Linked DNA regions of Macaca mulatta. The main gene of each other region encodes a partner of the protein of the gene in region 2 in a complex. Links are inferred from orthologs where the notes say so. Each region holds a gene or a part of one and is shown on either strand. Other genes may lie near its edges.

Evidence for each region.
Region 1: TERT (region 2) and NOP10 share a complex: the UniProt entries of both Homo sapiens proteins name them as parts of the telomerase holoenzyme complex. The link is inferred for Macaca mulatta from reciprocal best matches to the Homo sapiens genes TERT and NOP10.

Annotation. Positions count from the first base shown.
Region 1 is NC_133412.1:11,535,680-11,538,965, reverse strand, and holds NOP10 (H/ACA ribonucleoprotein complex subunit 3), read left to right. Parts: upstream 1-1,369; 5' UTR 1,370-1,425; coding exon 1,426-1,479; intron 1,480-2,388; coding exon 2,389-2,529; 3' UTR 2,530-2,777; downstream 2,778-3,286. Other genes in the region: NUTM1 (NUT family member 1), read right to left, coding at 800-881. UniProt on the Homo sapiens protein: Required for ribosome biogenesis and telomere maintenance. Part of the H/ACA small nucleolar ribonucleoprotein (H/ACA snoRNP) complex, which catalyzes pseudouridylation of rRNA.
Region 2 is NC_133411.1:2,402,511-2,406,023, reverse strand, and holds part of TERT (telomerase reverse transcriptase), read left to right. Parts: intron 1-588; coding exon 589-769; intron 770-1,457; coding exon 1,458-1,637; intron 1,638-2,113; coding exon 2,114-2,269; intron 2,270-3,513. UniProt on the Homo sapiens protein: Telomerase is a ribonucleoprotein enzyme essential for the replication of chromosome termini in most eukaryotes. Active in progenitor and cancer cells. Inactive, or very low activity, in normal somatic cells.

The DNA of each region.
Region 1 (3,286 bases), on a different chromosome or scaffold from region 2:
TTGCTCTGTCACCCAAGCTGGAGACCAGTGGCGTGATCTCAGCTCACTGCAACCTCCGCCTCCCGGGTTCAAGCGATTCTCCTGCCTCAGCCTCCCGAGTAGCTGGGACTACAGGTGACCGCCAGCACGTCCCGCTAATTTTTGTATTTTTATTAGTAAAGACGGGGTTTCACCATATTGGCCAGGCTGGTCTTGAACTCCTGACCTTGTGATCCACCTGTCTCGGCCTCTCAAAGTGCTGGGATTACAGGCCTGAGCTACTGCACCCGGTCACAAACCATATTCTTTTTTTCAGACGGAGTGCCACTCTGTCACCCAGGCTGGTGTGCAGTGGCGCTATCTCAGCTCGCTGCAACCTCTGCCTCCCCGGCTCAAATGACTCTCCTGCCTCAGCCTCTGAAGTGGCTGGGACTACAGGCGCCCACCACCACACTCAGCTAATTTTTTCTGTATTTTTAGTAGAGACGGGGTTTCGCCAGATTGGCCAGGCTGGTCTCGAACTCTTGACCTTGTGATCCGCCCGCCTCAGCCTCCAAAAGTGTTGAGATTACAGGCGTGAGCCAACGCGCCCGGCCAAACCATATTCTAAAAAAAAAAAAACCTTGCAGGTTTTTCTGGTTACACAACATATATGCCAACGCTTTTGTCATTATAAATAAGGCGTAATGATGATCTTTGTAATTATATTTTGGTTCTCATTTTCATTTCTTTAAACGAATAAGGAGAACTTCTATATTCTTTAAAAAATTGTAAAATCTCCTAGAAGGTGCACTTTATTACGCTATTATTAGCTACTCACCACTATAAGAAAGAGCGCTGAATTTGCGGTAGGGACCTAAGTTTAAATCTTGGTTCGACCGCTGAAACATACTTCGTTTCATAAAATAACTTTACGCTATTTTCGCTTTACGGAATATTGATACTCAACATGCATTCTTTACCGCCAACGCTTTGAAATGGAGCAGGGAAACTGGATGTAAAAGAGGGGAGGGAAGAAAACCTCTTCCTTCTTCCCTAGGGCAAAGGGGCTCTGAATCCTGGAGCCCTTGTTTCTTCAGGCACTGGAAACTCACTGCTCCTGAAAGGGGTGTGTATCTTGAGATAAAGACAAGCTTCTATACGTCAATGTTCTATCCACATCCATCCCTACCCCCCTCTAGCGCCGTGTACCTAGCACACAGTAGGCACACTCCACGTGTTTTAGCCTGCAAAGTTGCAAGTGTGGCCCCCCAAGCCAAGCCCTGCCCTCGTGCGCCCCCTTCTGGCTAGCTGAAAATAAGGCAAAAATTGACTACATTTTCCGGCGTGCCAGGAGAGAGACTTCCGGCTATGCAGGAAGGAAATTGACGAACACGTGACGCGGTCGGGCGGACCCCTGCAGACGGAGCAGCGGAGCGAATTGGGACCTCTGGCTTACGAGCAGTCATGTTTCTCCAGTATTACCTCAACGAGGAGGGAGATCGGGTCTATACGCTGAAGGTGAGGAGAGAAAATAGGTTGTAAATAGGCATGGCGAGAAATGTAGATGGGAGGAATGGGTGAGGCCATACACGGAGTTACCTAGCTGGGTGGAGGGAACCAGAAAGTGCAGAACCGAGGTGGGGGAGAACCGGGAGCGCGCGACGAATTTTTTATTTTAAAAAAACAAAATTGGCCGGGCGCAGTGGCTCACGCCTGTAATCCTAGCACTTTGGGAGGCCGAGGCGTGTGGATTACCTTAGCTCAGGAGTTAGAGACTATTCTGGGCAACACGGTGAAACTACGTTTCTACTAAAATACAAAAATTAGCCGGGCGTGGCGGCGTGCGCCTGTTTTCCCAGCTACCTGGGAGGCTGAGACAGGAGAATCGCTTAAACCCGGGAGGCGGAGCTTGCAGTAAACCCGGATAGCGCCATTGCACTCACTTTTCTTTTTTTTCTTTTTTTTTCTTTTTTTTTTTAAGACAGGGACTCGCTTTGTTGCCTAGGCTGTAGTGCCTCGGCTCACTGCAACCTCCGCCTCCTGGGCACAAACAATCTTCCTGCCTCAGCCTCCCGAGTAGCTGGGACTACAGGCGTGCGCCACCACACCTGGCTAATTTTTGGTTTAGGGTTTTTTTGTTTGGTTGGTTGGTTTTGTTTGTTTGTTGTAGAGACGAGGTTTCGCCATATTGCCCAGGCTGGTCTCAAACTTCTGACCTCAAGCCATCCTCCTGCCTCGGCCTCCCAAAGTGCTGGGATTACAGGCGTGAGCCACCGCGCCCAGCCTTTTTAAGTTTTGTATTTCTCTATTTATTTGTACAACTTTTTGAGCTGATCATTGCATCTTCTGTTTTCATGTTTGCCCTTTTTCGCGCTGTCCCCACCCCATCACTCCTGTACTGACATACATTCTCTATTCCCGGAGCAGAAATTTGACCCGATGGGACAACAGACCTGCTCAGCCCATCCTGCTCGGTTCTCCCCAGATGACAAATACTCTCGACACCGAATCACCATCAAGAAACGCTTCAAGGTGCTCATGACCCAGCAACCGCGCCCTGTCCTCTGAAGGCCCCTTAAACTGATGTCTATTCTGCGGCCTGTTACCCCTCGGAGACTCCGTAACCAAACTCCTCAGTCTGTGAGCCCTGATGCCTTTTTGCCAGCCATACTCTGTGGCATCCAGTCTCATCCTGGTGATTGAGCATGCTTGTGTGAGGCAGTCATGGTGGCATCACCCATAAAGGGAACACGTTTGACTTTTTTTTTCGTATTTTAAGTTACTACCAGATTATTAAAGATAAAATGATTTGAAAAGCTCTTATTTTGTGTTGTTGGAGGAAAGGATTGGTAGTATTGTTTTAAAGGGAGGGAGATGATGGACGAGAGCACTCCAGAGAGTTGCAACAACACCACTTGGAAGAAAAACTTCAGTCCTGTAGCAAGAGTGGTCATGTGCTGTTAGTGGTAGGAGGGTATTGGGGAAGAAAGATTAAGACTTTCACAGCTGTCAGCATTCACTGAAAAATACCCCTGTTGTCACGTAATTTCTCATCCCTTGAAATAACATTTTGATTAAAAATGGAAGAGTACTTGAAAAAGTAATAGGTATATTATAGAGAGAAGGCAGTGAATTGAAAGAAGACCAATATTTCCTTTTTGTATAACTTTGAGAAAGTTACTTAACCTGTTTAGTCTGATTTTTCTCCTTATTAACTTATCTTTGAACTCATTGATTTAGTGGTGGGCTTTTTTTTTTTTTTTTAAGACAGTCTCACTCTGTTGTCCAGGCTGGAATGCAGTGGTGGCTGACTACAACCTCCGTC
Region 2 (3,513 bases):
GGTTTTGGGAGAAAACACCAAAGGGCAGAGGTGTCAGGGAGCTGGTGGGCTCACGGGAGCTGGTTCTGCTCCTTGGCTGAGCTGCCCTGAGCAGCCTCCCCTGCCCTCTCCATTGGAAGGGATGCGGCTCTTTCTGCCTGAGGGTCCTGCCTGGGGCCAGACCTGGGCTACCCAGTGGCTGTACCAGAGGGACAGGCATCCTGTGTGGAGGGAGCATGAGTTCATGTGGCCCCAGATGCAGCCTTGCACCCCATCCTGGGTGGCGGCCACTGGACAGGCAGGCTGGGGGTTGATCATGGGACCAGGTTCCCTGGTGCTGATGGTGGGACAGTCACCCTGGGGGTTGACCACTGGACTGTGCGTTCCTAGGGTTGACTGTAGGACCAGGTGTCCAGGTGCCCTGCAAGTAGAGGGCTCTCAGAGGCGTCTGGCTGGCGTGGGAGGACGTGGCCCCGGGCATGGCCTTCAGTGTGTGCTGCCGTGGGTGTCCCGAGCCCTCACTGAGTCGATGGGGGCTTGTGGCTTCCCGTGAGCTTCCCCCTAGTCTGGCGCCTGGCTGAGCGTGTCCTGAGGGGCTCTCTGTTGCAGACAGCACTTGAAGAGGGTGCAGCTGCGGGAGCTGTCGGAAGCAGAGGCCAGGCAGCATCGGGAAGCCAGGCCCACCCTGCTGGCGTCCAGACTCCGCTTCCTCCCCAAGCCTGACGGGCTCCGGCCGATCGTGAACATGGACTACGTCGTGGGAGCCAGAACGTTCCGCAGAGAAAAGAGGGTGACTGTGCTTTGGTTTAGTGTCCTTTTTAAACAGAAGTGTGTTTGAGCCCCACATTTGGTATCAGCTTAGATGCAGGGCCCGGAGGAGGGGCCACGGGACCCAGCCCGGCCCACGGCACGGCTTACACCCATTTGTGGGCGTGGTGAGGTGGCCGAGGTGCTGGTGCCTCCAGAAAAGCAGTGTGGGGGTGTTGGGGGAGGTCCTGGGGCAGGGACAGGCTCTGAGGACCACAAGCAGCGGCTGGGCTGGGGCCTGGACGCAGCAGAGCGCGAGGTCCCAGGTTCGTGTCCTGCCGTGGTGCTCGGGCACCGGGTGCTTCCGTATGTGGGCCCAGGGACCAGGCCATGGCTGCCAGGACCCCACCGGGCTCTGAGGACCCTGGGCCCTCACCCCACGGCTCCTGCACCCCACCCCTGTGGCTGCTGTGGCTGTAGTGACCCCGTCATTTGAGGGGAGTGTGGGGTGAGGTGGACAGAGGTATGGCATGAGCATCCCATGTGCAACACACATGCAGCCGGGACCACGTTTCAAACAGGGTCTGGGGAAGCTGGGAGGGGTTCAAGGACCTAGGTCTGGGCGGCTGGGGACACTGGGGTGGGGCTGCTTCTCCCCTGGGTCCCTCTGGTGGGGCGGGGCACCTGGCCAGGTCCACTGTCCTGACCGTCTCCCGTGCCGTCCCCGCCAGGCCGAGCGTCTCGCCTCGAGGGTGAAGGCACTGTTCAGTGTGCTCAACTACGAGCGGGCACGGCGCCCCGGCCTCCTGGGTGCCTCTGTGCTGGGCCTGGATGATATCCACAGGGCCTGGCGCAACTTTGTGCTGCGTGTGCGGGCCCAGGACCCGCCGCCCAAGCTATACTTCGTCAAGGTGGGCGCTGGGACCCCGTCAGCAGCCCTGCTGGACCTTGGGGGTGGCTGCCTGATTGACACCTCATGCTGGGTGGGCCACAGGGAGTGCAGGTGACCCGGTCACTGTTGGGGACACACCCGGCACCTGGCAGGGAGGCCTTCAGCCTTTCCTGCAGCACATGGGCCCCGACTCTGCACCCCAACTGCCCCGGGCTCCTCCTCCCAGGGAGGGTCCCACTGGATTCCAGTTCCCGTCAGAGAAGGAACCGCACCAGCTCAGCCACCAGGCCCCGGTGCCTCGCACCCCAGTCCTGAGCCAGGGCCCTCCTGTCCTGAGGCTCAGAGAGGGCATACAGCCCGCCCTGCCCTTGGGGTCTGGAGAGGTGGGGCTCAGAGAGAGATGGGGGGACGCGGCTGCGGCCAGGCCCTGAGGGCAGAGGTGACGTCTGAGTTGCTGGGTGGCCGTTGTTAGCCTTCTTGCCTTCACTCACGCAGGTGGATGTGATGGGCGCATACGACACCATCCCCCAGGACAGGCTCACGGAGGTCATCGCCAGCATCATCAAGCCCCAGAACACATATTGCGTGCGCCGGTATGCTGTGGTCCGGAAGGCCGCCCATGGGCACGTCCGCAAGACCTTCAAGAGCCACGTAAGGCTCACGTGTGATACAGTTGTGTCCAGGATGTGTGTCCCTGGGATCTGGATGTGTCTAGTTTGCAGTCATGTCTGTGATGTGTTTCTGTGATGGAGGTACTTCCATGATTTACACGTCAGTGATATGTGTGTGTATCTGTGATATGCGCATGTGGCACGTGTGTGGCACGTGTGTGGCACGGGTGTGTCCGTGGTGCATGTGTCTGTGATGAGCATATTTGTGATGTATGTGTGTGTATCTGTGGCACGTGTGTGTGCGTGGTGTGTCTCTGGTGTGTGTGCCTGTGGTATGCATGAGCGTGTGTCTGTGCTGCGTGTCTGTGACGTGCATATTTGTGGTGTGTGTGTGCGCATGTGTCCGTGGCACATGCATGTCCACACTGTGTCTGTGGCGTGGGTGTGTGTGGCCCCTTGGCCTTCCTCCTTCCTCTTCCAGGCATGGTCCGTACCATTGTCCTCACGCTCTTGGGTGCTGGTTTGGTGAACTCCACATTCAGGGTCCTCCCTTCCAGCACAGGTGCCCCTGTCCTGTCACAGGGCTGGGCCTTGGAGACTCCAAGCCGGGTTTGAGAGGAGAGTAGGGACACTGGGTGGTACCTTCCTGGACCCCCGGCACCCCCAGGACCCCAGCCTGGCCCGTGCCGGCTCTATGAGAGACAGGAAGGCTGATTCAGGCCTCGCTCCCCGGGACACACTCCTCCCAGAGTGGCCGGAGGCCTTGGGGCTCAGCAGGGGTGAAAGGGGCCCTGGACTTGGGTTCCCACCCAATGGTCATGAGCACGCTGGAGTGGTAAGCCCCCAGAGTAGTGCCAGGCCAGGGTGCAGAGGTGAAGTGTCCCTGGAGCTTCAGTTTGGGGAAAGGCGCATGTGGAGACCTGCAAGGACCTCTTTCTCTGACTTCTTGAGGCTACTGCAGCTATTTGCAAATCTCATGTATGACTCAGCAGAATTTTACACTCGTGGAAACCTGATGGCTACCACCTGCGTCCAGGTGTAGAAAGTCGCCAGAGCCCAGGAGACGCCCCTCCCCACCACCCACCCATGCCCAGGTACAGAAAGTCACCAGAGCCCAGGAGAACCCCCTCCCCACCACCCACCCATGCCCAGGTACAGAAAGTCACCAGAGCCCAGGAGACCCTCCTCCCCGCCACCCACCCGTGCCCAGGTGTAGAAAGTCACCAGAGCCCAGGAGACCCCCTTCCTCACCACCCACCTGTGCCCAGGTGTAGAAAGTCACCA